Caenorhabditis elegans: one gene and its partners. The protein of the gene in region 3 purifies or fractionates together with the protein of the main gene of each other region. This does not show direct contact. Each region holds a gene or a part of one and is shown on either strand. Other genes may lie near its edges. The genes, in order: ZK470.6, C11D2.3 and elac-2.

What was found.
Region 1: the proteins of elac-2 (region 3) and ZK470.6 fractionate together in Caenorhabditis elegans (co-fractionation; one large-scale study listed by BioGRID). This does not show direct contact.
Region 2: the proteins of elac-2 (region 3) and C11D2.3 fractionate together in Caenorhabditis elegans (co-fractionation; one large-scale study listed by BioGRID). This does not show direct contact.

What each region holds. Positions count from the first base shown.
Region 1 is NC_003284.9:4,173,274-4,182,422, forward strand, and holds ZK470.6 (MD-2-related lipid-recognition domain-containing protein), read right to left. Parts: upstream 4,035-9,149; coding exon 3,936-4,034; intron 3,888-3,935; coding exon 3,668-3,887; intron 3,621-3,667; coding exon 3,407-3,620; intron 3,356-3,406; coding exon 3,211-3,355; intron 3,091-3,210; coding exon 2,998-3,090; 3' UTR 2,792-2,997; downstream 1-2,791. Other genes in the region: mrp-6 (Multidrug resistance-associated protein lethal(2)03659), read right to left, coding at 4,956-5,132, 5,182-5,457, 5,842-6,090, 6,136-6,339, 6,742-6,845, 6,920-7,040, 7,470-7,576, 7,628-7,778 and 3 more.
Region 2 is NC_003282.8:6,147,045-6,157,836, reverse strand, and holds C11D2.3 (BLOC-1-related complex subunit 5), read right to left. Parts: upstream 6,025-10,792; 5' UTR 5,935-6,024; intron 5,884-5,934; 5' UTR 5,401-5,883; coding exon 5,382-5,400; intron 5,318-5,381; coding exon 5,208-5,317; intron 5,019-5,207; coding exon 4,843-5,018; intron 4,794-4,842; exon of another isoform or gene 4,773-4,793; intron 4,498-4,772; exon of another isoform or gene 4,473-4,497; intron 4,104-4,472; coding exon 4,023-4,103; intron 3,612-4,022; coding exon 3,414-3,611; intron 3,368-3,413; coding exon 3,214-3,367; 3' UTR 3,160-3,213; downstream 1-3,159. Other genes in the region: unc-77 (Sodium leak channel NALCN), read left to right, coding at 1-9, 128-235, 284-394; C11D2.4 (Queuosine 5'-phosphate N-glycosylase/hydrolase), read left to right, coding at 946-1,053, 1,102-1,196, 1,277-1,937, 1,991-2,161; C11D2.7 (PUA domain-containing protein), read left to right, coding at 2,445-2,510, 2,557-2,781, 2,849-3,115.
Region 3 is NC_003282.8:4,735,898-4,748,413, forward strand, and holds elac-2 (Zinc phosphodiesterase ELAC protein 2 homolog), read right to left. Parts: upstream 8,371-12,516; 5' UTR 8,354-8,370; coding exon 8,310-8,353; intron 7,542-8,309; coding exon 7,410-7,541; intron 7,158-7,409; coding exon 6,287-7,157; intron 6,241-6,286; coding exon 6,101-6,240; intron 5,876-6,100; coding exon 4,888-5,875; intron 4,299-4,887; coding exon 4,075-4,298; intron 3,862-4,074; coding exon 3,759-3,861; 3' UTR 3,593-3,758; downstream 1-3,592. Other genes in the region: fbxb-78 (F-box associated domain-containing protein), read left to right, coding at 1,667-1,758, 1,928-2,837; timm-17B.1 (putative mitochondrial import inner membrane translocase subunit tim-17B.1), read right to left, coding at 8,821-8,931, 8,989-9,099, 9,156-9,341, 9,391-9,502, 9,551-9,576; tctn-1 (Tectonic domain-containing protein), read right to left, coding at 9,938-10,156, 10,203-10,334, 10,385-10,632, 10,687-11,215, 11,598-11,701, 11,755-11,935; cyc-2.1 (Cytochrome c 2.1), read right to left, coding at 12,158-12,313, 12,365-12,516. UniProt on the Caenorhabditis elegans protein: Zinc phosphodiesterase, which displays some tRNA 3'-processing endonuclease activity. Probably involved in tRNA maturation, by removing a 3'-trailer from precursor tRNA. Involved in germline proliferation.

The DNA of each region.
Region 1 (9,149 bases), on a different chromosome or scaffold from region 3:
ATTTCAGATGAGCATTACAATACTCAACGACCCCCAACTTTCCTCCGATGTTTACGATCTTTTGATGTCAAGGACACAAACACTTGGCTCCTTCTGTGAATCCTTCATCCCTAACTCGAGAATTTTGAGCTTTAATTCTACATCAAGCATACCACAATCCGGACGCAAAACCGACAGATTCCCGTCCTATGGAAACAGTGGATAACTCCGATCGAGCGAGTAGGCAGCGATTTGACATCTCCAAAAGGCTACCGATCTCAACTTGTTATGTATATACTCTAATAACTGTTTTCTTGCCAACGTGTACAGATTATTTCACTATTTTTTGTTCCAAATGTTTTTTGTCCGGTCATGTTTTACCAAATAAATGAATGAGAAATTCAACGATTTTTTGTTGTATTTCTGAAAAATCGAAAATATATGAAAACAATTCAATTGGTCATTAACAGATCAAGAACATGGACGTGAACATTTGAACTCGGAGAAGATGCCAATAACAAAACCAAGTGACATACTTGACATGAACAGTTGAATTTTTTATTAATCCACTTCCTTGAGTAAACTACAATCATTAAGATTAAACTGAAGTGAGAAGATAAAAATTTGAAAAAATTTAAAAACAACAGATAAGACGGTTTTATGTTTTAGGACTTCATCGTTCAACTTTCCAAAGATCGTAATCAACGAACAAAACACTAAATCACAAATCTTGAATTATTTTGAAATTTTCTCTTAAAAAAATGCCACAAATTATTCATCGCAGGGTTTGAGGACTGTTAAAACTTGTGAACTCACAACTTGTTTCTCAAGTGTTTGTGAACGTTACATTTTAGGTTCTCGTGCATTTTGATTGTTTTAAACAAATTGAAACGTGACATATGTTCAGATGTTCTAGAATTGAAATGTCCCATTCTTACTGAATATTCCGGCCAGCAGCTGTTTGTGCAAGTTCTAGGTACGGTTTTAAAATTGGTTTAAAATTTAGCAAATGTTGGAAAACTTTGACAAAGTTTTATAGAATCCTGCCCAAGTTTGAAAAACAATTCTGTGTCGTTTTATACTTGGGTAAGACTGGTCAAACTTTGAACAATCATTGAAAAAGCTTAGATTTGAGCTCCTCAAATTTTTGCTCGAGTCAAGCTTTTTTTAAGTTTGACAGTTTCACTCAGTTAGAAAAGGTCTGTTTCAAATATAAAGCATTAAAAATACGTCTTACATTTCATTTAAGTAGAAAAAACTGTACATATGCTATTTTTTTTACAAAGCGTAACACTTTACTCCAAAGTATGAAAGTTTTCATTGAAGCTGTAGTTGCGCCAGCGAGGAAAATTATTAAAACCTCCTATAATGCCAAAAATGGCCAAAAAACATTTCAAGAAGTGATGAAAAACGTTTTATTGACATTCAAATAGTGTCAATTACTGAGTTTGTGTCACTTTTTGAGAAAACTGTCGCAGGTTGGAATTCCTAAAGTGTTAGAGTATTAATATATGAAAAATAAGTCCATTAAAGTCGAAGGATCATTTTTCTGATTGACGACTTTCAAAAATCTGTGTTAACATTCTATGACAGTTAATAGAAATAAAAAGATTTCAAAAAAATTGTGAAGAGTTTAACTATGATATTTGGAAATTTTTAAACAAAATGTATGGTTTTTACTTATTTCCCCAGTAGGGTTACTTTGCCTTTGAGCTTACTCAGAAAACAAAAACTAAAAATAGGCAAAAGTTGTGCATGACCTTGGCAAAACTTGGAGGTTACACCAATATGCAACTGCAACTTGGATTTTGGCAGCACCAAACCCATGTTTGACTCAACTCTTGCCAAACATCTACCCAAGTTTAAAACGAAACAAGAAAATTTTGGGCCAAAGTTTGGCTAGAGTTGGGTCAAACTTCGGATAAGCTTTAGCCCAGCCTGAATCCAAGTTCTGCCAAAGTCCCGCCCAACTTTTGTCCAAGTTAATATTTTTAGGGTCAAACTTGAGCGAGAAGTTGAAGCCAAATGCCGAGAAGATCTAATATTAATCAATAAAAATTAAACAAATATTGATCATAGTCAAAGTACTTTGAAACCAGATTTTCATATTCAATCTTTTATTTTGACTTATTTTATTGTGTTTTTATATTGTACCGAAGCTTTTTATTATCTGCATTATCAGAGTTTCTCAGAACATTCCGCAATCTTTGTAACCTAAAATTATTTACTTCTCTCACATAAGTTATTACCGTATCTATTGTTGTCCTCAGCGTTCCCATCTTTCCAAAATGCCAGTGCACTAATTATTTATTGTGTAAAAGGTTAGCAAAAGGTTTCTTATACTAGACTGCATTCCAGCTACTGGTCTTATCCCGAACAACGCTTCCACTTCATTATCACCATTCCCGCGCACTTTCCCCGGTGTTATTTACTTTTTTCTCAACGATCAGGTTTATATACATATTTTTTAAAGTTTCGTTAATGTTAATCGCTTAACATATTGCATTTGATGCTCATTGGTCGACAAAAGTTTTGCAAGTAGTGTACATTACTCAACAAATATTATTTGTTTGTTGTTTTTCTTTTTGACTAATTAATTCCTCTGGAAGTTTTCTCCGCTGAGTAGCAAGAAATTAATTTACTCTCTCAGCAGAATGATTATGGAATTATGGAATTTTCAGCGTTATTACTCGAGATAAACATGTGTCAAAACAGAGATCTAACGAAAGCCGGATCCCATGTGATTTTCAATTCTTGTTATTCACACATGCACCTTAGTTGTTCCAGACCATTCCCACATATCAAAACAGAATATACTATATTATTCATTTTTTGATAACCTGTAACAGAGAGTCATAATCATAAACAACTGGATGAATAGAAACCACTTGGTTCTGGTGTTCACTGGGGGAGAAGGTAGGGAAGGGGAATTAAATTAATTGGGTTGCGTCCCGGTTATCGTTCATAAATACTGCTGATAAGGATCTTGGTAATAAATAAATAAAAAGTGTCTTGGTCTCAGAGTGTGATTCTAGTTTGGATCGTAGCACAAAGCAACTCTCGGTAGGGATCTCGATTGTCTCGGACTCGAACCATCATTTGGTAGGCGGACTGAAAAATTGAAGTATACTGAAGAAGTGGATTTCTTTTTAATATTTCAATTTAAGAAAAAAAAACGTATTTGCTAAGCGTCCGTCAACGGCTCTCCAGTACAATAGCCATCGCGTTTACCTTATGGTCAGTACCCACCAAGTCATAGTGAATCATTCGGAACAGATTCGTAAACAACTTTGTTGGATCAATCTCGAATTCGATAACCTGACGTCCCGGAGTCACCGGACATGACGGGTTGTCGTCACACATATCATAGTTGCTCCTTAAAAAAACATTCAATGTTTTTCGGTGTTCTGCAAAGAAAACAACTTACAACAGCCCAAAGCTTGGTAAAAACATCCACCCACATCCGAACCATCCGGTTGAACGTTTAAAGATTGACACTTCGACGCCCAAATTGTCATATCGTTTGTTAGAATTACTGGTGATGTCGAGGAAAATTCGAATAGGCGAGTTGAAGGAAACCGGGTAGGTATCATCACCGTTGCCGTTTGTAATTGCACCGCCGTGAAGTTCAAACTTTGTGTCTACAATTTTTGGTATTTAGGGCTCTGTTTTACTAGAAGTACTGTACCTTCTTTACACTGGAAAAACGACGGACGAACTCGTGTTCGATTCGGAAGAGCAACGCATTCTTCTTCTTGTTCTAGAGAAGAATCTGCCATAAGGTATGGAGCATCCGGTGCAACTTCAGGGTCATCAGTGTTATCTTCGTTCGAGCCAGCTACTTCTGCAGCTTGATTACTGGCATCTTGATGGCTACCAAAGTTTTTGAAAGATCGAAAACGAGCAGGCTAAAAAATAAACTAAATCAAAACAAACACAAGTAAACAAAAAAATACCACTTCTTTTTTAATTTCAGCGCTATCTTGCTCAAATTCTTCTAAACTTGCAAAAACAAAAGGGAATATTAAGAATAGTAGAATAAAACGGAAATTCATCGTTAACAGAATTTTTGTTGAAATCTTCACTTGGAAACTTTTTTGGAACTGGCCGCAACCTGGGTGTATCGAATGTTTAGAATAAAACACAGATGAGTGCAAATTGAATAGAGCACTCGACGCACGAAAAGGTGCGGGTTGGTTTTTGAATTGCCTCAGGTGCTAGCGGGAGGTCGACGGGTGCGCTCTGTTCTGCTGTTTTCTGTGCTTTATATACCTGACCGTCTTTTTTTGTAGAGCGCCCAACATGTGGGGCGTTCTTGAAAGTCCGACAAAAACGCGATTCGCACCTGGTTCCAAAGCTCCGCCAAATCACTCGAGAGCCCGCATTTGTCGCTCGATCAATTTCTAATTAGAGCAAATGGTGAAGCACTCGAGATTGCCATTTTTGGCATTTGAAGATTTGCTCATTGCTTTCTAGACGGCTCTCTTCCTCACTCTTGACAAGTTTTTATCAGACACTCGTCACAGAAATGGTCTGCTTATTTCCATGGGACAGTGCAAACACAGAGCACAAAATAAAAACAGAAAAATAACAGAGTTTCTTTATTGGAAAAAAATGAGGGGGATGGAGAAAAGAATAGCTTGCATGAAATACATGTTTCGATTAGAATCATGAAAGTCAGAAAAAAACCACAGAACAAAATTGCTGATATTACCAAAGAAAAATTAAATTCGACACATATAAAGCTACACGATGTGGACGATGCGATCACTGGGCCAAAACCGAAATGATCTTAGATCATGGTATGAACAAGGAATTATTGTGCTCAATGGAATGATGGAATAAAAAGTGAAATAAAAACAATCTCGATTCCCTTTGAAAAGGTGACATTGAACAATTGAATTGCTATAAAATGATGTGAAAGTGAAACAAGTTATGATTTGAATATTTAGAAAACATGGAAATTTAATGAAACTTTAACTATTATCCGTATACGATGACTGATCATCGATTGCATGGGCCAATGCAGCCGCCCGAAGGGAGTCAAAATTTTCAGCCCCTGATTGAGCAGCCATTCTTGAAAACAGCGAGCTCTGATCATCCAGCAAAGTGATCGGTTTGTCAAACTCGACGAGCTCTCCTTTTTCAAACACCTGCAAGTTGCGAACCTAGGCATTGTTTGCTTGTTGAGAAACCACTTACCATTACATTATCGCTGTTCATAATGGTGTGAAGACGGTGGGCCACCGTGATGATTGTGGCGTTTTTGAAAAAGTCTCGAATTGTTTTCTGGATGCAAGCATCTGTCACTCCATCAACATTTGCGGTTGCTTCATCAATAACAAGAATTTTGGATCGGTGGATCATTGCTCGGGCAAGACAGAAAAGTTGACGCTGACCGACAGACAGGCTGACTCCCCGTTGGCCCAATTCGACGTTCAATCCTTTTTCTTTTGTGATGGAACGTTTAAGCTCACACTGAAAATTTTTTCAACGATTATCCTACAGAATCTATTAAAAATTTCGATTTCATATGAATTTCGGAATCTCGTATTAAATTAGACCGTTGGATCAGATTTAGGCACACATAGGACAAAACTAGGGCTACGGTGAGGTGAAGTTTGAACTTGGTTAAAATATGAGAAAAAGTTGGATCAGACTTGGGAGGGGTCATGTCCAAGTCTTCCTCAAGTCTTGCTTATGTCTTGTCCAAGTCTTGCTCAATCTTTGCCCAGTCAACATTTTACTTTTTCAATAAAATTTGTAAAGCCAATGGTGTTAAAACAAGATTATAGGGGCCATAAAAATGGCTTATAAAAATTTCATTCTCACATGTTATTCTTCAATAAATTAAAGCCATACCTGCTCTAACGCAAACCAAATAGTAGCATCATCATACTCATCGAACGGGTCCAAATTCTCCCGGACCGTTCCTGAAAAGATTACGGGCTCCTGCGGAATGATAGACATTCCTCCTCTTCTGAAGTTAAGACTAATGTGATCCAGATCCACACCGTCGATAGTGACACGTCCAGAGCAGTACTCTTTCAGTCCAAAAATAATTTTAATGAGTGTTGATTTACCAGCACCAGTTCGGCCGACGACTCCAATCTAAGTTTCAGAAGTAATACTCTGAACAAAAAGTTAGTAACTCACCTTTTGTCCACCTAAAACAACAAAGCTAAGATTTTTGAGTACTTTGGTCTCCCCATAATTGACAGATACATTTTCAAACTCGATTTCTCCTTTCGTTGGCCAAGAGTTCAGTAGCTGTTTATCGAGGTATGCATCATGTGGTCTTCTGGCTTCTTCTTCAGATTTCAATTTGGTGTACTCTAGCACTCGTTCCACGGAAACCATCTGCAAATCGACAGTTTGAATTCAATCCGCATACTACTATGTTTGTATTGTCTTCATTTGCAACATTTGCTGTGTTCACATTGTATTCATTTAGAATAAAAGACCGAATTGAGAGTTTCGGGTGGGTCGCTCATTTGGCGCCACCATGACAAACATTCCATTTGTGTTTGTTGTGATGTGTGTGTGTGTGTGTGTGTGGAAAATGCGACAAACCACTTCAATCGTCTGATCAGGGCAGTTCGCGCTTGAGCATTGTCCAAAACTCTTTATAATCATGATGTTTCGCCAACCGCATAGTGAGCTCAATTCGACCTTTGATGGCGGAGCAGGAGGAGGAGAAGGGGGAGCAAATTGGAGGAATCTCCCGCGATAAAAAAAGAAACAAGCAAAAAATAAACTCACCCCGTTCTCCAGCTCGGCGCTTTGCCGCATGATCCACGAGAAGAATCCACTCAACTGAACCGCGCACACAAGGCACAATCCGACTTCTCCGACGGTCAGGGTTTCTAAAAATCTCGGAGTGTTGTTTTGAAATAAGATACGATGGACGCGGTGGATAAACGTTACTGTGTTGACTTACCATATTGAAGAACAACAACAATCGCCACAATGGAAACGAAAACAGACACCAAAAAGTCGATGCAAATTCCGAACCAACGGGCGGACAAAAGTCCCATGTTGTACGCGGCCATATAAACATCCTGTGAAAAGGTCAAATTTTAAAATAGTTCGTTCGAGAAATGGGCTCTGGCGTTAGGGAGGGGGGTCTTACCTAGGTGTTTTTAGGGGGTATTTCCTATAGGGTGGGTCTTAGAGGATCTTTTCTAGGTTGTCGTTTCCACTCTTCTAGGAGATTTTAGGGGTTCTTCTTTCTAAGAAAAATTCTTAGGGTTTTTCCGAGTAGTGTTTTAGGATAGGATGTCGTTCTTGTAGTCACTAATGGCCTTGAGCAACGTTAAAATCAGCTAAATTTAGTATTCCGATCAGGGATGTGCGGCGAAAAAACCTTTGACTTGCTCTGAGCTCAATCGGGCTCGACTTAACATAGATTAGTAAATTTTTAACATTCTCAAAAGTTTGGCAATATATTAAAATTGTACTTTGTAAAATAAAATGTATTCGAAACTTACATGAAGAGCGCAAAACTTTTCAATCATCTCGTTTTCTTTTCGGTATGCTCGAATAGTCGACAAACCATGGACAGTAGATGTAATAGTAGTGTTCAGTGGAGACCGAGCTGAAATATTCAAAACTGTTTTGTTTTCAAGAACCGCGAAGTAATGCTTACCGGCTGCCTCAATTCTCTTCAATTCCCGTGAACGATGAACGTACATTTTCCTACAGAAGTAGAACCCTGCAGTTATGAACGCGCAGGCAAGAATGACAATAGGTCTGACCATGGAGACTAATCCAACTATTCCCACAAATGTCAACGTACCCTGTAAACAAAGTTGAAGTTTGTTAAGATAATCAATAAATTATTGATAAACTTACAAAAACAAATTCAAAGTACGTGAACGCAAGCAAGTCATCAGTGAGGCCTATGTCTTTTGAAAAGCGATTCAGAATCATTCCTAAAACCAACAATGTTCTAAAGACCCTAGCCTGCCTAGACCCTAGCCTTACCTTCAGAATTTTTGTCGAAAAACTCGGATTCAGTTTTGAGAACACAGTCAAACATGGAATTATGAAGAATTCGAGAAGCCATCAATTGTGCATTGCGGAACCAAACCGATCGAACCACTCCGAGAATCGACATGATAACGGTACTGATAATGAATGTGAGTTCATAAGTTTGGAATGTGACATTGAACGTGTAACCAAGAACGTCAACATTCCTATTGAACTCTTCTTTGCTGGTACTGTTATCTGCATTGTTCATATCCAGATCTACCAACCTAAAAATTGAGTCTAGATCCCAACACACAAGAGTATTTCACGGACCATTTGTTCAACCACCAGTCGACAAAGTTATTCATAAGCTGAGTTATTAAAACACAAACCACCAGCCATATTCCGTACTTCAAGGGGTTTATGACACCTCTTGTGTACTCCCAATAGACGGACCAAGAGATTGTTCCCGATTTCCTCGACTCGTAAACTATTTCCTTCACGTATTCTGTTTCAGACATTTTGCTTCCTGATAATACACTATTGGCTCTTTGGAATATGCTCTCCTTGTTTATTTTCTCCATAGACTCGATATTTACTGGAGATGGTGGCGGAGACGAGGGAGGCCCGTCCACAAAAAGTTCATCGCTTTGAACTTCAGTCTCGACAGCTTGAAGCTTTATGAAGTCGTCAGTGAAAGTGGATTTCAGTTCGTCCAGAGATCCATTTCCGACCATTTTGTTGTTTTTCATAAGAATTACAGAGTCCAATTCGCTCAGGAAGTGAATTTGATGGGTGACGAGGATAACTAGCTTATCCGATAAGAATCCACGAATAAGGCTAAAAAATTATTGTGCCATTAAAAAATAAAAGTTTACTTGAGGGACTACTAGTGAAGTTAAGATGAAAGACTAACAGGAAAATTCCGGGACTTTCTTAAATTTTCAGATGAGTGACTACTAGGGGAATACCAAAAGTGGCTTTATTTTCAAAAGCATTTCAAATGTTTGGTGCATTCTGCTACATTATCCGTACTTAAAGTATATAATTAAAAAAACTCAGAGTGATTTGAATGAGAAAATAAAATTATAAGAAAGACATGGCTTCCTATATTGTTGGATTAGGTTCTGCTTAAAAATTTAAGCACGCAACAGTTTGTTTTAAAAAATTCAAGCCATGTAAAAAAATTTGGATGAAAA
Region 2 (10,792 bases), 1.4 Mb from region 3:
AATTTTCATGTGAGTTCGTGTCAATGCCTTTTTTTATTTTTATTTTTTTAATATCTAGTCTGTGTGTTTTGCAGCTTAAAGTAAAATGTAAAATGTTGTTTTCGTAATAATATATTCCAAATTTCAGCTCCAGCTAAACGTCTATGATCTACCTGACGTAGAAGAACGTGGAGAAGATTCTCCATTTTCTCCCAAAAACTTGTCTGATGATTTTAATGGAGAGCATTCACCATTGGTAATTCTTTCACTTTCATTTTCTTGAAATGGTTTTCAAAACTTGTAGGTGATAACTCCATCCTTGCCTGTACCACCGACACATGGAAGCCCTCGACCACTTATGCCATGTGAAACGACAAAAGATATTGAAAAATGGTGGAATTCCCTTGTTGATTAGTTCATTTTTTAATTATTTACATTCTCTTGTTGATCTATCTTTTTTAATGTATTCAGGTTATATTGTTACGAGGTATTCAAAAACGCTTTACGAATATTAATTGTGCTTTCACCGAATGAACAGATTTTTATTGGTTTCGTATATAAAATTTTTCAGATGTTTTCTTTTCAGGTTTCCAATGTAGTCCTTAATTTTGTACGATTAATCAAGAAAAATGTTTTTATTAGCGAAACTATTAGTGGGTAATTTAATTGATTTTTAGTTAAAGAAATACTTTTTAAAACATCTGAAAAAGCTGTAAAACGACGACTTTAATTTTTTAAATATAAAAATACAGCATTTTTTGTCGAGAAATAAAATGTGTTTCAGTCTGCATTGCGTACACGACACTTTAACGTACGACAATTTGCTAGGCACTGTGCAGAAGGAGGAGACGCAGAGACACATCTGCGGAGCGTCGTAACAAACACGTTTTTCTCTTTAAAATTTTTATTTTCATTTTTTACTACTCGGTAGAATTGTCACATATTTTTCACTTTTTAGGTCAGAAAATGCTTATTGACGAAGTCCTCGGTCCTGCGGAATCTGGAAAATTCATCGTCGAGCATGGAAATCTCGTCAAAATCAACCAGGCAGGCGTTCGAAAAGTAGCAGAACATGTAAATCCTAAAAATAAATGTTGAATGAATGTAGATTAATATTTATAGATTCTCGGAGCTGCAAAAGATGGATCTCTGAAAGAAGCTCTTTTCTTATCGCCGGAATTACACCCGAAAAGTGGAGATAAAGATGCCGTCCAGTGGTGAGAAAACTTAAATTGTAACTATTCCTCAAATCTGATCTTTTTAAATTTGAAATCATATTAAATTGAATTAATTTCAGGGTATTATTGGTGGATACAATCAATTTCTCATTCTGGCCGGATGAGGGAGATCACTATGATGTTAGCTGGGGTGGAAAAGCTTACACTGGTTACTTCGCAGCATGTGCCGCTGTCAACAAGGCTATAGCCGCCGGAATTCCAGTACTTTCTGCTGAATGGATGAAAAATGTTGGCAGAGAAGAAATCGACAGGATTTTCAAATCCGATTCAGGACACTCAATTCCACTACTTGACGATCGAGTGAAGGCTATCAATGATTCAGGAAAAGTTCTTCTCGAGAAATTCGATGGACAATTTTATAATTGTGTTATAAAATCAGAGAAATCCGCTCAAACTTTGCTGAAATTAATCGTCGAAAACTTTGTCTCTTTCCGCGATTTTGCCGAATTCAACGGACAAAAAGTTTCGCTTCTGAAGAGAGCACAGATTCTCGTTGCGGATGTCTATGGATCCCTTCAAGGTCACGATGATGCGGGAAATTTCAAGGATATTACCACGATCACAATGTTTGCTGACTATCGTGTTCCGCAAGCTCTCGCTTATCTTGGTGCTCTGGATTATTCAGAAGAACTTTTGAGCCAATTGGGTGAAGGAAAACGATTGGAGAATGGATCAAAAGCGGAAGTTGAACTCAGAGGAGCATCTATTGCAGTTTGCGATGTAAGATTCCAGATATTTCTGAAATTTTGTTGTATTAAACGCTAAATTTTCAGGAAATTGTCGCCAAGATGAACGAACTTCGTGAAACCGATCCAAGATTCTCTGATGTTTGTGAAGTTAACGCCATGGAAGTTGATGTCTATGTCTGGGGATATCGTCGACTTTATGCTGCGGATGTTGAAAAGAAAGTCCCGTTCCACAGGACTCGCTGTATTTATTATTAAATCTGTATATGTAAATATTAGTATTTAATTTTTAGTGTGAATTCTAGTGATTTTAGCTTTTCGTATCATCTTCTGTTTTCATTCCGTGTTTTTTTTCTTTCACAGGTTTTAAATACTTTATTTAACACATTCCATTGACACTTCACTTTGAGCCTTAATTTGTTATATGAATTTTAACATTGTTTTTATTTTGCTGAATTCTTTTGTTTTGGTTGTATACCAATTTTTTAAACTTATCCTTGTTTTCATTTAGTTCAAATCTTACAATTTTTTTTCAAGAACCATGTTCAAAAAATTCGACGAGAAGGAAGATGTGACAGGCGCTACTCAGCTCAAGTCCAGTGTTCAGGTATCATCTTTAATTTTAATTAACTAATAATTATAAAAATTTTTAGAAAGGAATTCGCAAGAAGCTGATCGAGAACTTCCCCTACTTGGAGCCACATCTTGAGGAGATCCTCCCGAAAAAGGAGAATTTCAAAGTGATCAAATGCAAGGATCACATTGAATTGCTCGCCGATCATCTGGGTGTCGTGCGATTTGTTAAAACACGTAACACTGATTACATTCCAACTTTGAGAACACTTCACAAGTATCCATTCATTCTTCCACATCAACAGGTTGGTTATAAATTGATTATTTACCTGGTTCAACATTTCCATTTATTGATGAAAATTCAAATTTCAGGTCGACAAAGGTGCCATCAAATTCATCCTGAACGGATCTTCAATAATGTGTCCTGGATTAACATCGCCAGGAGCTAAACTCACTCCTCTCGTACCAAAGGATTCAGTGGTTGCTGTGATGGCTGAAGGAAAGCAACATGCGTTGGCAATTGGTTTGATGTCAATGAGCAGTGAGGAAATTCAATCTGTGAATAAAGGAAACGGAATTGAAAATCTTCATTATTTGAACGATGGGCTGTGGCACTTGGCTGAAAAATCGTTGAACTGATGTGCTCGAATTCCCGGTCGTCGTGCTCTTTATCAGACTTCCAATAATTTGAGATGATCTTTATTTTATATGTCCATTTTGGGATTTAATTTATATTTTCATGCACTTTCTTTTGTTGTATCTTTTCCTTTTCCATCTCGATTCTCATAAAATTTCCAAAGTTTTCCGTCGAGTTTCTTGATTCTCTTTTCTTCCCTTTCAATACGCCACGCTATTTCTTCCAGTTGAGATTCCTCATTTTTGCGAACTTGCCTGCAATTTCTCAACATCAGAGCGAAACAAAACAAACTTCACTTACTGATTCGCGTGATGAGTCTGTCGTAATGCGTGAAGTTGAGTTGTCAAGCTGCTCAACTTAAAGGCTTTCTCCGAGAAATCATCGACTAAAACCTGAAAAGAATTGTCCAGAGCACATTGATACTTCTCGGTTACTTCATTGCAAACAGCCAAGCATCCAAGAGCCTCACTGATTTTATTATTCTGCTGCTCAATGTTCCTGGAAAAATTATTTTTGCATTAAAGTACACATGAGCAAATATTATCTCGCTAGGTATTTGGCGGGAAAACTGAAAATTCGAGCGATTTCTAAATATAATTATTACCATTTTCTAATCATTCTCCGTCTATTTTGATGTGTTTCCTGCTGGCCTAAACATGCATTTATAACAATTAATTCGGCACGAAAATCATTTAACAAACAACAGAAAAAATAACAAAAATGTTTGATAGCTGACAAAATCGGCAAAACTAACTGAAAAGTTTAAATTTACAGTCTTGGCACCTAATACGAGACCCAACTGTGGGAGGCGGGGCGGTTTTAATTGGCTGTGGAGCGCGTTTCCACATCGATTTCAAAGGGAACATTCTGCTCCTTTGAAATCTCTTCTGCGTCCCCATAATAACTCACAATTCAATAGCATCAAGAAGTCCCCGCTTCTCGAAATAGTTTGTTCTCTGAGCATGTAGATTTCCCTGGATTTTCGCAAATCTAAATTGAAATTTCTGAAAAGAACTTTCTCAAACCAGGTACCGGATATCTCGTCGCGATACTACAGTAATCTACAGTTCATCATACTCCGGCAACAGTATGATCGCTATGAGATATTATCGAAAGAATACGATCGCACAATTTTCTCATAATTTATTTTTGATTTACCTTGTTGACTAGGCTCCTCCTCTTCCTTTGACAAGACAGCCACAACAAAATAACAACGGCAACAAGATCAACAGGTAGATCAAAAATATATTATGAGAAATTTGTGCGATCGTATTTTTTCGATAATATCAGGGAAGTGATTATGTTCAGTAATTTTTGTAATTTATAAATTTTGGAAGATTTCACAAAAGCTATTAAATAACTTTTTTGCGGGACAAGAGACTAATTGCAAATTTTTTAAAGCTTTTGTTTATCTCAACCGGTGAAACAGTGAAAAAGCTTATGAAACATTTGTGAATTTTTATACTTAAAATTCTCATCAATTCAATCTCACAACACGAATATGTGTAGAATTCGAAGCCGAAAAAAATATTTTTTTTAATTTAGCCGCCTTAAAAATTCCAAAGATAAATTCCAAGAATAGTCGCGGACTTCGTGATGAAAAAAAAAATTTACTGTTTCAGAACTTTAATATCTTTTCATATAATCAGGATAAAACATTCAACCACCATTTTTTGGAAGATCCTATAGAATACAAATCGAAAAAAATGTTGTTTAATAGTAAACTTACGAACTGAACGCTCTGCTCAAATAGTCAACATCGTCCATTTTTGGTTTTTCACTGATATAGTTTGAAAAATATTGATTATCAATGCACAATGACGGTGTAATTGTTGGAATCGGAGGAAGTGATGGTCCAGGATCAGATGGTATGGGTTCATCTTCAGAAGGGACAGAGGTTACTTTCTGTAATATGAAAAGTTTCTAGTTTTCCATAGATATTTTTAATTACTCATGTTGTGGTTATTCTTCACAATAAACAAAACATTCAAGCGGGTCTCACAGCGAAATAAATTTTTTAAATATTAAACATTAAGTTTTCAGTCAAAAAATGTACTGTTACGTTGAAATGTTACTATTATTCAGATAACTTACTTGACCTTGTTTCCCTTTTGACTGAATAGAAGGTAACTTCACATATGAGATCCTCCTCGTTGATTTCTGCCATCTCAGTGTTGATGAAGAAGCACCAGGTTTGTTAGAACCTTCAACAAAATTTAATTTTATCACAGGTCTAAAGAGAAAACGTAAGAAATATAACTTTCTTACCTGCAATCGATGGGAACATTGAAACTTTTGAAAAGCAAAAATAAACTCAAATTTTGAGCAACATTTTGAGCAGCAGTGAAAGGTTACTGAACCAGTTTCAAATTTTATTTAGTGTCATGGCATGGCTCTGGTTGAGTTGCAAAATTGTCCAGTGAACTGGAAGCATAATTGGCAGAAAATAAAGGCTTGAGTGGAAAAAAAAATTAAAAAGTCAGGGCCAAAAGTGATTATGAATACGGATTTTTTGAAATTGCACGTTCATATATGACGTCACGCCTCTGCACGCCACTTTAAAATTCACGTATTTAGACAGCTTCAGATACCCACCAAAATGAGAGACACAGTCTCCTCCCAGCTTCTTCCTCTGCAAAACACCGAACAACAATTTACAAAAACAACAATTTACAAAAAGTTGCCGGTGTAGGCATTAGGAAGACGAATATTAGGGCCAGGAAAACGTCCCGTTCTCATCAAAGGGGATGTCTAGTGAACAACAATAAAACTGAAAATATTCGAATAGATTAAATTTGGTATCATTTGGAGTTATTATTACTATAAATATGAAGTACTTGAATCACTACAATAGTCGCATAAAAACTGAGATATGAATAAGTCTTTTTACATTCAACAATTGAATGTCAAATTACCATTCAATATTTGCTTTCTGGACATTAACCATGCACTTTTATTCACTGTCATGAGTTTTCTCTCGTGATATTATTCACACAGCTTTTGTCCCTATCAAAAGAAATACGCGACTGTCACATTTATCTTTGTTTTGTCTATTTGCAAGTCAAATAAGTGTTCTACATTGATGCGCAGACACGAATGTTGGAATTAAACAGTTTTACAGAAAAATGGTTTACCTATAGGCTTACAGGCTATTATCTAGTCCTTGAAAATTAACGGCATCCAAGATTTTTATTCAGACAGGTTTTATGTTAAAGAGAAATAATCTTTTTTTGGGTCTATGTCTACTTTGAACATTGAAAACCTTTGAAAGGAAAGTTATATGGACCATACAAATAAAAACTTATTTTTTTTCTAATCATTGTAAGACAGGTCGTACAATTGGAAACAATTCGATTTCACCGCACCTATACCGTGAATATGAAACGATTTTCGATATTTTATAAACCCCTGAAAAGAAACGTGTGATTACTCAAATCGTTCAGCTCCCTCATTTTTTTTCCGATTTTGCCATTTTCTTACTTTAAATTTTAAAGTTTTGTTTCGTTTCACATTTTCCGCAAGGCTATAATTTTACGAGTGATCTACCCACATATTCAACTTCTTGATAAAAAATGTATTTTGAATTTGTTTTCTGTCCAATTGACCAATTTAAATGCTTGAAACTCCTATATACTTTGCAAAAAAAATTAATGTTTTTCATACATCATAAAACATATTCCAAACTCAGTTGAGAGTTAAATATAGAGTTGAATTTTGAATTGAGATCTGGAAAAATTTGACGTCAGAGGCATCTTCTTGACAAAACGTCGCAAGTTCATAGCAAATTTTTGCAATTTAGAAAATTAATTCAATAGAAATTTAAAAAATGGTCTGAAAATCTTTAGAAATTTGTTGAAAATTTAAAGTGCTCAACAGTAGTTGCAAGAGTACGCTAACAAATTGGACCGATTTGCCGAGTTCTTTTTTTGGGATTCTTGTTGAAAAATGATTGCCGCAAATTTAAGTGATTTGATCTTTGTGATACAGTAACCCAAGACATATGTCTACGTTACTGACAGCATTGATTTGCATATAGTGTATAGAATATGCACAGTCTGAAAATAGAACTATTTTCTTTGAACTTTGTAAATCAAATTTAATTATCCTTTAATTATTATTTTTTTTTAAATTATAATTTAAATCCCTGTAATTTTTGTCGGTTTCAAGAGTCCCATATTACCATTTACACGCTTTCTTTCAATTGTCCATAATTATTCATGAATTTTATTTTCTCCGCCCATTCGCTTTTGCCCACTATACTCAGTTGATGTTTCCATTTTCTTTTGTGGCTGTGCCCTCTTATCTTTTCTCTTATTGCCGTCCTCCTTCTCCACAGTCGCCTCTCTTTTTTTCTAATTTCGTTGTGTGTTTTTCAAATATTTTTGAATGTGATTTATGATTTTTGAGTTAATTTTCTTGAAAAAGAGGTGAGAGAGAAGGCATTTGGAGCATTTTTTTATGGGGATATTTTTTCGAAAATACTAAAAACCACTTATTTATTTAAACATTGTGCACCAACTTACTCAACATACCTTAACTTACATTACATTTCCAAATTATTATAGGCATAGCTCCGACAAAAAGCGAGAACTTTTATGACTTTTCAAAATTTGAACAGCGAAAGGTCGTTTGTTTCTCTTTTTATGAGGCGTGCCAGGTGCAGCGAGAGAGAAGAAAGGAAACTGTAGATTATGAATCATTTGTAGATAAAAATTGACTTTTCATTCCGTTTTTTTTCCCGCTATTTTTTATTAAATATAATGTTCCAGCTACTACTGGACAGCTTGATAGTAATTATGAATGGAACCGAAGAATGTGAACGACAACCGGCACAAGACGGACAAAAAATGGAGAATGAAGTCTGTGAAGGTACGTAGTTTATATTCAAAATAATTAAATCGATTTTTTAAATATATCTTCCCACAGTAACTGTTACTGAATTCGACTAATCTCTCAATTCATGCTTTCTCAGAAACCGTAGATAATTTATTTTTGTTACAACCTATCCAAATTCCCAGAAGTTTTTTCAGCAATTGCTTCACTATTTCATCTCTTCATAGTTAAGCTCCGAGCTCTCTCCTTATTAGATTTTCTTCGTGTTTCAAAAATATAATTTCTGATTTTCACGTAATAATCATAAATCCTTAATCTTCTGAGTCAGTAAGAGTTTTAAATACCGAAATAACGATACAAAGTAGAAAATCTAATCCGGATTTGTTCCTTTATTCCACGAATTAAGACAATTTGTCGTGTACGGATTATTTTCGAAAATAATTTATGTTTCAGGTGTAGCCAACACGTCAGAAGGGGGAAGTGACGGGAAGATTTCAGAAACGGAAAATGAGACGGGGGATCTGGAAGAAATCCCAGGTGCTGAAGTAGTAGCTGATCCAAATGAGCATGCTTCCAATGAAGCTGAGATTCAGAATGACTCAGAAATCTTGGATGTTGGTGAGTTCTTGTGAATTTTTTCATGGTATTTTGAAAGATCTAAGCGATCACCTAGTTCCGTCCATTTAAGCATCTTCTTTTGGTTTGTCTGAAATTTCCGCTCAATGTTTTTGGCGTATATGTTTCCGGTCGGATTATTTATTTGTAGAGCCAAAAATACATTATTTTAATCTGACTATGCTCCCTCCCCTCCTACGTCAATGTAAATCTCGAAACATTTATAATTTAGTTAAGAAGTTTGCATAACATGCATGTAATCACCGAAAAAGTTTACAGGGACAATTTAGGAATTTCAGCTTGAGTCTCAAAGACTCCAACAAAGGCTAAAGAAAGTTTTCCAGACTATTAAAAAATACTGTTTCACCACTAGCTCTTCAATAGCAATAAATTTCTGACCATATTCGTTTTACATGTAAATTTACAACATTGTCTCTATCTGCGGAATCTGTAACTGTTTCAAAACCCAAAAAAAAAATTAAGATACAATGTAGAATATCTAATGCGGATTCGTTTCTTTATTCTATCAGTTGCTCCAATTTGTGCGGATTATTTTCGAAAATTACATGTGTTCCAGGTGAGACCAACACTTCAGGATCCGAAAATGAAGAAAACACTTCACAAAATAAAATGGAGGATCTGGAAGAAATCCCAGTTGCTGAGAAAGTTGCTGATCTAATTGAGCATGCTTCCGATGAAGCTGAGAATGATAATGGCTCAGACATCCCCGACATGGGTAAGTTTCTCTGTCAGTTTCAGTTATTGTGAGAGGTCTAAGCGACCACCTAGTTGGTCTATTTTGGCATCTTCCTCTGGTTTATCTGAAATTTACACTCAATGTTTTGGATTATATGTTTCTGATCAGAATATTTATTTGTAAAGCTAAAAACACATCATTTTAATTTGACTTGGCTTCCCCAGAGTACGTCAATGAAAATACTAAACATTTAAAATTTAATTTAAGAACTTGCATAACATGGATCTTAATCACTGAAAAATGTCAGAGGACAAATTAGGAAATTAATTTCAGCTTGAGTTTTGAAGGCTTCAACAAAATTTTCCAGACTATAAAAAAACACTGTTTCACCACTAGCTCTTCAGTAGCAAATACCTTCTAGTCATAGTTTACTCTTCATTTGCGGTAATCTGCTGAATCAGTAAGTTATTAAAAAGGAGTTTACTTCAACATTAAAAAGTAATGCAATTTAAATATTCTGTCTATGATTTTCCTTAATCTGCTGTGACAGTAAGTGCTCCAAAAGTTGAGATACAATGTAGAAAATCTCAGGATGTGTTTCTTCATTCCATGAATTGAGCAAATTTGTCGTGTACGGATTATATTTAAAAATAACATGTGTTTCAGGTGAGACCAACACTCCAGGAGGCGGTAGTGAAGAAAACACTTTGAAAAATAAATTAGAGGATCTGGAAGAAATTCCAGTTGCTGATCCAATTGAGCATGCTTTCGATGGAGCTGAGAATGATAATGGTTCAGACATTCCTGATATTGGTAAACCACTTCATTCAGTTATTGTGAAAGATTTAAGCGACCACCTCGTTCCGTCCATTTTGATATCGTCCTCTGATTTGTCTGAAGTTTCCGTTCAATATTTGTGGAGTATATTTTTCTGGTCCGATTTCGTATTTGTAAAGCCCAAAATACGTAACTTCCGTCTGAAGAATGTAGGAATCTATATTCTAATTCATTACCAAAACCGGGTTCAGGAGAAAATTTGAATAATTGATTAAGTTTTTAAAGACTCTTACGACAAATGGAAAAAATTATCCAGAATGAAAAAAAATACTGTTTCGCGATTAACTCTTCAGTCGCTAATAATTTCTAGTAATGTTTATATTTATAAACGTAGAAAAATTACTATAGGCAATATTTATTTGTGCAATCAGAAAATATGAATTATTTGACTTACACTCACAATGACTAATTGAAAAATAAAATTGGGAAAATACGGTAGTTGGTTCTCCCAGAGAAAAGTTCCCAAGAGCATATATGGTACATACCCAGAAAAGAAGCGTTTCTAAAACTATTAGACAATTTCATACTAAAACTGCAAACGTTTTTCAAACATAAAATAGTCAATAACATAATTTTAATATTTGTTTATCAGAAATCAGAGACAGTGTCAAAAAAATTGTGAATTAAGCAATATATTTAGCAATTTTTATAGATATTTTCGAAAAGAGCACAACTGCACGAAAATTTATCAACAAAT
Region 3 (12,516 bases):
AAGAAGCGTGAAAAGAAAAGAAAGTTGATACATACATACAAAGTTTCGTGGTCAGAGGGTAGACTGGGAGATTGTGGGCATAGTCAGAGAGCATAAGAAAGAATTGGATCAAAGAACAGGATAAATAATAGATCGTAGGGATTGAATTTTAATGATCAAGAGTAGATGTCGCTCATTTCCTAGCATAGTTATCCTTGTTTAATTTGGATACAAATTTTTTTGAATGATGGTTGACTTAACGTTTCCTAATTTTAGATTTACATCTGCTCCAAGAGAACTTATTTTTATAATGCGTTCTAGTGTTGTCCGAGAATGTAAAAAATACAGGTACTTTCAGATATATTTTACCGTTTAACATTTTCAAAATAATTTTTTTATCGGTGTTCAGGCGTCGTTCTTGCAGCGTTGTGATAACAAATAATTCATTTCTTTCGGTCGAGGCTTTATATTCCGAAACACTTATTGTACAAATACGCGTATATTACTTGATAATCATTTCTGTGTTTTGAAAAGTGAATAAAATGTGTCCCAGAGGAACATGGTTAAATACAATTTTAGTTCGACCCCTTTTCTCGATTTTAATCAATACATTTCTGTGATAGCATTGAGAAGGAGAACACCAATATTTCAATCTGCTATAGAGTTTCGAGTCGGTACAAATATTTTCTAAGATGTGTACAACATTTGGAAGCGGGTGTTCCCTGAATTTTTGTAAAAAAAATTAGAGACTCTGTAGTTTTTTATATCAAACAGTTTCCCTCCCAACCCCGATTGAAACCATCACAGTGACTTTGGTATTTTCCTTTCTCAGAAAATCGATTCTCAAGTATTCTCAAGATTCTCAAGCAGTATGTTGTTGTATTTTTATTGACATCAATTGATTACATGGTATGGGGTAATTGGTTTTTTGAGGGATTCCAGCATACAAAACATGACAGATGTGTTAGCTAATAGAGAGGATTATGAGCCATGAGACCTAGAGACAAGAAAATGTTGGGCTAATATTGACTAGTCCTCATTTGAATAGCAGCAGATATCCCTTTTTCAATTATACATGCATATTTTCAATTGAAATTTCAACAAAAAATCATTTAAAACATTAAAAATTGTGTTTTGACGTTGATAAAATATTTGTATGAATTTTCAGACAATTTTTCATAACTAAATCAATATTGTCAGACTAACGATCAAATTGTACCTAATAGAAAAGTTGTCGAAATTGAACTTCAACTACTAACAGTTTTTGATATGTTCCATGAAACAAAAGTTCGAAATTTTTCAAAATATTTCTCAAAACTTTGAACAGACGTAATAATTGTTGAATTTTTAGAGAAGTTTAATTAAGTTTTTTCGGCATTTTACATGATTCAATCACTTGCATTTGTTTTGATAATTCTCTTGAGAATGAGTTGCTACTCATAATTATTGATAACTGAGTTGTACGAGAAAACTTTTTTAATGCATTCTGAAGTAGGAATCTAATCAGATCTAGTGCATACATGGAGAAAGACTGTTAAACTGTTCTAACATGTGCGTGTCTCTGCACGCTTTAGACAAAGAAAAATATGTATAATATCTCTAAGATGAGAATTAGAGAATTGGGGAAGGGGGGTCAACTGGACAGGACCACCCAATCTCTCCATCTGCTCATTCTTCATTTGTGGCCATGGTCGACGACGTATCTGTTCCTTTCCAACTGCTCAAATTACCTCAAAAATCGAGTAACTACGTGTTTCACAGAATGCTTGTAGCAGATTTGTAAGTAAAACATATTTTTTCCAATGTTAACTCAAATTATTTTTGATCAAATATCACTCAATCACATCTCAATCAATCACACAAAATATCACAAAAAATACCACTAGTGGAATTTTATTAGATAATTATTGATTTCCTATCACTCAACCTGAACAATGTTTTTTTACAGAATAGGATTCTCACTCACATCTAAAAATGCAAAGCTACAAACAAAACGCCTAGGTCTGAAAGCCGAGGATGTCCATCTTGAAATACGTTCTGGCATAATAATTCATATTTCCCTTCAACATACTTTCACGTATTTTAAATTCTACACTAACGAATACCGAACCTCAGAGCATCGTCTTGAAGAAGAGTGCATTAATATGTATCTCTGTACTCGATTGGGTGAATGGAAGACACCTATATTTCGAGTGAGACAGTTTTTGGATCACGTTCTTGATATATTTCATGTAACAAACATTAGTGAACTAGAGATTACAACCGATCATTTTGAAACTACAATCTATGATAGTTTTGATAAACTGGAAATAGAATCTTTCTCCATGTATCATATCGATCTGAATAGATTGTCACTTCAGTATGCATTGAAAAAGTTTTCTCGTAAAGCTAATCAGTTATCAATTTTAATGAGTCGCAACCCATTCACAGCAGAAACATCTAAACAATTGCAAGTGGTTTTAACACGTAACATGGACCATATTGTTCTATATCACCCTATCAAATATGATCTGAACGATTTATTCGTTACTAATACTTATTCACTCATGGTTGACATGAAAATTGAAGATGTTAATATGTTCTTAAAACACTGGATTCACGGACTCGACAGAAAGTTAGAACTAGCTTGCTTTGGCTACAAAGAACTCCAATTGAAAAATGAAGCAGTTGTTGAAATACTCTTCAAAAATGTGGATTATCAAGTTGCACCAGCGGAAAGAGAATTGACAATTCATCCTACCGGATCCCAGCAGATATGTGTCAAAGGTGGTTATGATGTTAGACGAGTCGATGGAACAGAGGAAAATATTACTGTCAATAGTCAGCGAAGTTTGATTGATATGGTATTTTGGAGTTAAATTATCATTCGGTTTTTAATTAATACTAAATATGTATACTTGATTAATTATTTTAATAATTGTATTTAATACTTTAATATATATGCATATGCATTTTCAAACTGACAATGAATAAATATATTAAATTTCTACTTTAAAGTGTTCAATTTTAAGAATGTCTGACTAAAATTCCGGGTTCACTTTTTGAATCAGTTCATTTTTTCTGCTATTGCGCCACAAACGTTCAAAGGAATATTCTCTATCCACTTGAATTTATCAAGATTATGAAAATTTACACTTCTTGGGCGGAAAAAAGTTTTGACGCACATAATACGGAAACGCCGAAAAATTCCCCTATTAAACACGAACGCCGTGATCCACGGCCAATTGAAAACGTCCCGCCTTTCAACTTGTTAGGTATTGGCGGGTAAACTAGGAATTCAAACGCTTTCATTTTTCTGAACGGTTTCAATCGTTAAAACTGATAACATAAAATTGATAATAAAATTTAAAAAGCAGTAGAATTCCCTTTTTCAATATCACATGCATTTTTTTTAAACAAAATAATCATTTAAAACAATTTTCAAAAAAGTCGAAAACCGCCTGTATATTTGGTTTTACCGCTAAATACCTAACGAGACCCAACGGTTGGGGTAGTCGTTTTATTTGGAGCGCGATTGCGCCTCAATTTCAAAGAGATCAGTTTTGTGCGTCCCCAATAGAACACTTGTAATTGTAACTTCACATATTGTTCTTCTGAAAAAAAGAAGCTTAATAGTACCATATAAATTTTTATTGCTGGAACCAAAAATTTTTTGTTCCAAAACTTTCCGAGAAAAAAACCTTGACAACAAAACAAGAAAATGAAAACAAAAGTAACAATGAACTAAAAACGTGAATAACTGGATGAAAAGTGAATTAATGTTGAATGTGGCCAGTCACTCAAGCCTTTAATTGACCTCGCTTTTCAGACAATTCCTTGTCTTTCAAAACCCGTTGTTCTTTTTTGATGGTTAATTCGAATAGTTCCGCCACGAATACTTCTCTGTAAATTTATAAATTTATTTATTTCAACATTTTGCTTTAAATGACAGAAAATGGACCACAAGAACCGAATATAACTGTTAAAAATTAATAAAATTATAAAATATTTCTGAATTTTTTGAAAATTGTTTCAATTTTGCAAAAAAAAATTCGAGCACAGTTATATTCGGTCATTATGGCCCATTTTCTCCTGAATACTGAATCTGAAATCTACCTAAAAATGGGAAGAAGTTTCGAAACAAGTGGTAAATGATCGAATCGAACTCTCAACATATCCATCGCCACACCAATATTTTCCTTATCAAGATATTCAGGAAGAACTGGTACTTTTGGATATCTCGCACTGAAATGTGTCAGAATAATGTGCTTGGCATTCATTCGTTTTCCAACATCGACTGCTTGACCCATTGTTGAATGACGTTTTCTCATTGCATCAGCCTGAAATTAATTGGTTGAAAAATTTCAATATTTGCCTTAAAAAACCAAAATAGTCCGAAACTCAGAAAAAATTCGCTGTTTGAATGCCTGCCAAATGAGAAATATGACAAATCAGCGAATAGCTCCGCCCATATTTCGACCAATCAGGCGGAATGAGAGGAGCAAGTCGCTGATTGGTCTTGAAGTTCTCAGTTTGGATGGAATTCAAATTAAAAAAAAAAACTGAAAAAGCGGGTTTCTAATAGTTGGATTTTTCATTATTGCACTAAAAATACGTAATATAGGGTCTCGACACGACAAAATTTTTGCCGAATGCAAAAAGTTATTCGCCTTTGAAGAATACTGTAGGTTCAAACTTTTGTTTCTGCAAGATTTCCATCGATTTTTCTCACAAGTTTATATATTTCTCAACGAAAAACTATGAAAATTCGATGAAAATTCTGTTATCTTCAATCTCTGCATTTATCCAAAAATTGTCGTGTTGAGACCCTAGCTACCGTATTTTGGCTAAAAATCTCGTACAATTTAGTAATAAAACCAAAGACGAAATTTTAGCCAATTTTTTTGGGGGTTTTGGTGTCATATCTACCTCATGACCATCTTCAAAAGTGGATTCATGAACAAGAACATCAGCATCTTTTCCTTCTTCAACCAACAAATCACATGGTTTCGTATCTCCAGAGAATACAATTCGTTTTCCAGCAACTCTCATCACAAATCCATTTGCCATTCTTGTATGATGAACTTGTACAGCCTTCAGCTCATCCAGCTTCCATGCCTTTTTATCGAAACTGCTCGACATATCCTGTAGAACATCTCTGCTCGGCGGGAGATGTGGGCTCGGAAGTCTCGGTCTTTTTCCAGGAGGCCCTCCAGGGCTCCCGGGAGGTGTTAGTGGATACCTGGAGATATCAACAATTTCGAGGAGATGCTCAATGTTTTCAAAGCAAATTGAGTAGGTCTTCATTGGTTTCAGAACATTCCGATTGCATACAAGGACTAGTGGACGGTAAGGGGCTCCGAGGGACTCGAAAGCTTCTTTTCTCCGTGCAATAATTGTGTACAGCCCATTCATATGATCCTGATGAGCGTGAGTGATAAGGACGCAGTTGAGATTTACCAGAAGCTGCTTACAACCATCTTCTCCAAAAACTGCTCTCATTTGTCCATATGTTCCTTCTCCAACATCAATTAAAATCGCACTGTTCTCTGATGCTTCCACCAGATATCCTGTCACATTTCGATATTTTGATGGAACCGCGGACGAAGTTCCGAAGAATGTTAATTTCGGAAATTCGCAGTCCATTTTATTCTCCTTCTCCAACTTCTGATATTCCTTAATCAATTCCTTCGCTTTATCCGACAGCTCTGGCTCAGCAGCTAGCAAATTGTTGACGATGGGCTCCTCGTTGAACGAAGCTCCTCGGCGCATCCAATATCGTTGCATTGGAGCCACTCGAATGAATTGATCCTGTCGTTGTGATAGCTCCTCATTTTGAGTTATAATTCCACTCCAATCAATTGGGTGAAGAGCTGGGAAGAGAGATGGAGCAATTGATCGAAGAAGGCGAGTGTGTCTGTAAATAACAATTTGGATTCTTAAAACCTATGGATTTTGTAAAACTGAAATTTTTTGAATTTTCTGATGCCGCGAGGGAACACGAAAACGGGATCTCGTCAAATAGAAGATCTGCGAAAACAGAGGTCCTGAAATCGTGCCAACTGCAGCTCTTGAGACCCTGGATCTTGTTTTCGCAGATCTCGAATTCGTAGATCTATTCAATATTTCATATTTTCCTTACTTATAGACACTTTCCACAGCTGGAATCACAGGATTCCCTCCATTGATCAGCAAATGAGTGATACTGGGATTGTTGAGCTTCTCCATCAAATGTCTGTAGGTTGGAGTATTGATTACTGCATCATCACTGATATGAACCATCTGAAAATGTATTTTTTAATGTCAATAATTCTTTTTTCAATCTTACATAATCCAACTGTTTTTCCCCATTCAAAAATGGTTGCAGTGATGATGAGTCTATCAGTGCTTTCACATGATCCTCTGTAGTACATTCTGTCACTAAAAGCAGTGGCTTGTCTCCTTCAACTTTATCCGATGAGAAAACTTGATCAGGTTGAATCGTCCTTCCATCTGGAAGAGTAACTGCTTCTCCTGATTTCAGTTTTCCAATTAGTGGACCTTTCGGTACTTTCAGTTCCATCAACTTCATCGTATCGATTCGTCTGGCTGCCTCCTTCATTTCGATTAAAAATGCAATGTCTACATTGTTGACTTTCACATTTTTACTTTTTTCGTTGTTACTTCCGATATTCAACGGTGGACTCAGAGGAATATATGTGACCTTTAATCCGGCATCCTCATAATTCTCCATTGTATATGGACGTTCTTCAACTTGAGATGGATACTTGCAGCTACCGTAATCCGAATCTTGAAATGGTCGAATACATTCCAAAAAGTGTTTGATATTCATTGCACCATGAAGTCGAGTAGACAATGCATTTGATTCCTTAGAAAGTAGAATTGATGAAATTCCAGCAATATTATCCCAATTTGCAGATGTGATGAAAAGATCAACGACGCTTGAACTTCGGATCCTAAGCTGCCACAGGAATCTGCATGCATTCTCAGGGCAGTTGAACATGTAGGTTTTCAGTGGTGTTCGAAGGATGAAGCATGCTCGGAGAAGTCCTGTTCCATTACCGAGAACTTCGATCGATACTTGACTGGGAATGTTGACAATTGAGTTGGCCGGTGGTTCGTGAGCCGCTTTTTGTTTCTTCTGCACTGCCGCCATTGATTGTCGCAGATTTGAGATGCTTGCGTTTACTTCTCGAGCTCTGAAATATTGGTAAAGTTTATTAAATAGCGTCAAAAAAATCAAAAATTCGAATTTTTTCATACAGTTTATGTATTTTTCAACTGAAATTTTGAAAAAATTGACGGAAGCATGTCAAATTTCAAGTTTTGAGGTCGAACATATATGTGAAATCTTGAAAAATGTCTCTTTAACGCATTTTGCCATTCAACAAAATTGTCGTGCCGAGACCCCGTACTGTACTTTTCAGACAAAAAATCCCAATAAAACTCACTTCAAATGTGAAGACGAATGCTTCTGAAGAATTCGGCGATTTCTGGCAATTCTCTCCTTGATACTTTCTAATAATTCTTCGTTATTATCCTTAAATAAGCAGCTGGTTGAAGAAATCAAGTGACGAGAAACTCTGAAAAGTGAGATTGTGAAAAATTGCGAAATGTGAAAGTACTAGCGGAAAAACATGCAGAAATTAAAATTGTTGTTATCCAGGTGTGGAATTTTGCAAATCTCCAACAAACTAGGTCTCGACACGACAGTTTTTGCTGCAAAACTTGAAAAAGCGTGCGCCTTTAAAGAGTACTGTAGCTTCAAAGTCTCGCCGTGGATATATCCGCGCCAGTAGGCTGTTTTTTGTGCGCTTTCGATGACGAGACTGTGGGATACATATATAATTTTTTAAACACATACAATTTCAAGAAAACGGGATGAAAAACTATGAAATATCCGCAAAAACAAAAGTTTAAAATTACAGTACTCTTTAAAGGCGCACGCCTCTTTGCAGTTTGCAAAACTTTCTCGCGTCGAGACCATATACCGTATTTTTAGCATAAAAACATTTCATGCAATTTTCCGCAAAATTTCCGATATTTTTATACACTTTATGCCAAAAAACAACATTTTCATGTTTTCAAATTTTTAAAATGCATTTCTAGCAAAAAACACCGTGAAATTCATTGTTTAAAAATCAAATATCGATATTTTCAGGCAAAATGTAGAAAAATTCCCGTTTTTTCTCAAAACCTGGAGTTTCTGTATAAAAATTTCGCGTTTTTTAAACGAGAAATCTCGAATTTCAAGGTTTTCGGGTAAAAAATAATGAAATTTCAGAATTTTTGCCTAAAATCGCAAATTTTCTCGTCTATTTCAATTGGGGGGACCACTCACAAACCCTTACAGAATCCGATTCTCTACAGTTTTCCTCGCAATCGCTCCGAGCATCAGCTTCGAGCTTTCAGCTGAAATTTATTTGAATTTCATGCACTCTATTGTGCTAAAGAGCTGGAAGTTAATGTATAATTTCAAGATTTAATTTTACTTTAAACACGATTGAATCATCATGATATTATAAACAACGTCTTCATCGGAAAAAGAAATAGGGAACAGTGAAGATTATTAAAAAGAAATTAAAGGGGAAAGAAATTCGAAAAAACAGGGGAGAGATGGAGATGCCGTGCACCCATACGGATCTGAAACTTGATTTTTGGAAGGAAAGCGCGAATCTAAATAAGATTCGTGATCGCAATGAACATCATCAACAAAACAAACAACACTAATGTAATATGTAACTAATAAAATTGGAGCTCCTAAAAAATGTAGAGGAATCGGCCGATCACCGAAGTTGGAGGGGGGAAAATTGAGATAAGAGACAAAAGCATAAAGAAAAACGGATATGAGTGAAAAAAGATTTAGGACAGATTTGGTAATCCAGTTGGAATTCCGAAGGGTCTCGTTTGGTCGAGTCCTGGTTCTGCTTGACTCTTTTGTCCCAGACTGCGTGGATCGTCGAGAGCTTCTGGCTGCAAAAATAGTGAATAAATAAATAAATAAGTTTTGAGCCAGAAAACAAAACATACCGGCGGCTGTGTTGGATCCATCATTGCTCCCATCCAGCGGGTGGTCACCAATCCGACTCCTTCGATCATAGCCAGAATTACAGAGCCAAGAATCGCACTTCCTGCCATCACCTAAACAAAAATTATTAAATTATTATTAATTCACTAAATTAAAGCTATTCTGCTACCTTTGGTCCTGAACGGATCGCCAAAAGAGCTCCAGTCAATCCTCCAGAAACAATAGAGTTGATGGGGTCTTCCTTCTTGCGGATGGCGACAAGACAACAATCGATTGTACTGAACATTCCTCCCCAAGCGGCAAACTGAACTCCTGTTAATGTGCTTCTCATTCGTACTTCTCGCATCATCCCAACCTAAATTAATCAATTAATTAAGTATTTTTGTCTTTAAAAAATTAATCACCAATTTCTTTCCTTTCGCCGCATTTTTATATCCTCCAAAAGCTTGGAAAATGGATCCTCCAACGAGACCCATCGCAAACGCCGATCCAATATCATCTCCGATACGATATGGGCTGGAAAAAATTATTTTCAGTAAAAAAACCAATTTTAGGAAATCTTACCATGGCTCTCTGGTGTACTCTTCCATTTTTGTGTGTATTTATTCCCTGAAAACAGAAATTGATTAAATTTATTGATTTTAAAGCGGTAAAAGTGCAGTTTTTTGTAAAGAATTGAGTTGAAAAATGAATCTGAAAGCTCGAGAAAAGTGCACGAGAAGTGCGCCATCACGCAAATTTCACGAGACATGCGTCAGCAAAGAATTGCTTGCGTCCTTCTTGACTTTCGTTTTTTCTATCGTTTTTATTTTTATTTATTTCTTTGAATCATTAACTTTTATCTTAAAAGTTTAAATCTTAAACATTAAAGTTAAATAAAATAAATATTTTCTTTAGTTTGTGACTAGATTTAATAAAAATTAACAAGGATAAATACTTTAAAAACAGTTTTTATTTAAGAATATAGATTATAAAAATGATAAAAATACATTGTGAATAGTTTAAGCTAGCAGAGTAGTTTGAAGTGCTCATAAATGGATAGAAGAAGTCGTGAGGTAGTCGAATATCAACGTAAGGTAAAGCTGAAAATATGTTCTTCGGAGGTGGTGTGACTTCTGTGAATGAAATTGAGATTGGCATACGAATTTCTTGGCCAGAAAGATACGGAACCTGAATAAAAAACTAATTTTGTATACATTAAATAAGAAGGTCATACATCATCTAAAAGTAGCTGTGAGTTTCCTGCAATTATAACCTCTCGATAGTTTTTTGTAGATCCTTGCTTGGAATAGTAGATTTGAAGTAACGAGGACACAGGTAAACGGCAGGATATTGTGGAAGGTGATAGCTGAAATTAAAAAAATATATAAATTAAATAGCTAATTAAATAATAAATACTTCTTCCCAAGTAACATTAACTCTCCCAACGGAAGCTGGATGTGCATCTTCTGAAGGCGATGAAACAAGTACGGATGGATAAACTTGTTCGTAGAATGCTCTCGCTTTTGCACGAGCATCTTCGCAATTTATTGTGGAAATCGTGCACACAGAAGACATCGATCGAAGGAAGAACACAGGAGATGGTGCAATAGATCCAGAATAGCAGTTGCCTAGTGTTGGAACAGCGAATGGAACGGGAATAGAACCTGAAATATTTTTGAAAATGTAGAACAAATATAAGATCTACAATTTGAAATAACCTTTAACCCTATAAGTTTGCTCCCCAGCTTTATATCCTACAACAGTCTGATTTGTCTCTATCTCACTGGCAACCACAAGCGGAATCCAATAAACTGAAAATGTCTGCTCGAACCAATTATTATCTACATTTCCAGGAAGACTATCATATTGGGCATCAATCTCAACGGAATTCGTTTTTATCCCATTCATTCGGAATATAATATTTGCAGATTTCAAAACTCCATAACACATTGAATTATTCCAAACTGGAGCTATAAATTGGGCGGTGCTGAGCCTTGGAATCGCAATCGTCTCATTTTCGGTTCGTTCTACAAAATCGCCGTTTCCAAACAGAGCCTGAGCATTGAGAAACTCATTTTCGGAACAATGAGACAAAATATCAGTGGTGGCGAGAGGCTTGCACTTTACTGTCATATTCCTTTTCGTTATCACATTTTGAGTTCCAGTACAGAAATCGGATGCTGAAATTGCAGCGGGAAATTTGAATAGGCGAACGGCTCTTGAACTTCCGAAATGTAAGAGTTCTAACTGAAAAAAAAAAGAAATCTCAATTCATTATTAACCGAAGTCTTGAGATTTATCTCGAAAACTACTGTATTTACCCGGTCTCAACACGACATAATTTTTTGATGCGAGGAGATGTGCGCCTTTAAAAGAGTACTGTAATTTCAAACTTTCATCTCTGCGAAATTTTTGATAGATTTTTCACATTTTCTCATGATTTGTAATATGTATGGGTAAATTATTAAAAATCAATGAAAATTCCGCAGAAACGAATATTTGAAATTACAGAACTCCTTTAAAGGCGCATATTTATCTTTTCGCGTTTTACAAACAAAAGCGTGTCGAGACCAGGTACAGTATTTCTGGCGCAAAATTTTCCGTCTGCGTAGATCTTTAATTGTGTTACATTTTCTTGTGAATCAGATTCATCTTGCTGCCATCTAGATTTTGAAAATTCGTTCCATTGCTCTTCGCCATTCACAATTTCCACGTCACCATATTCCAAATCATCTAAATTCAAAAAAGCTCCGTAATTTGTTCGCGTTCAGCTAAAAAAAGCCCACCATTTTGCTTGGAGACGCAGAACAAACGAGAAGTTGGAAATATCGAATCAATCCGGTGCCGAACAACTGACGGATAACAAACCTCTGGAGTATCAGCCGAACAATAAGTTAAAAGAAAAATAAATCCAAGAAGATGCATGACAAAAAGCTCGTTCCGATTTCTTGGTGCATTGGTGCCCATTTTGGTTGCTATGGTAGCGGAAGAGTGTACACCTGCTGTGATGCGACTGTGGGGAAAAGGAAAACGAATTTAGGAAAATTATTTATTTTCCAAATTGACGTATATTCTTGCTACTAAAAATGAGAATGACACAAAATTAGTGCAATATATAAAAGTAAAACAATCGAAAGTGCCTAACTATGAAAAATTGCCGTAGCTAGGCGAGAACATTTAGGGGAATATTTAGAGGGACTTGGCGGATTCAACCTCGATGTACTTGATGAGATCTGCACGCTCGTCAGCCTTCTTGAGTCCAGCGAACACCATCTTGGTTCCTGGGATGTACTTCTTTGGGTTGAGGAGGTACTCGAAGAGGGTCTCGCGGGTCCAGACGACTCCCTATAATTTTTAATTTATAATAAACGTTAAGAAATAATTTATTAGTTGTACCTTGTTCTTGTTAGCAGCGGAATAGTCGAATCCAGACACAGTTCCTGATGTACGTCCGATAACTCCGTGGAGGGTTGGTCCGGTCTTTGTGGCGGTCGAGTCAACGACGTGGCACTGCAAGCATCTCTGCTTGTACACCTTCTTTCCCTTTT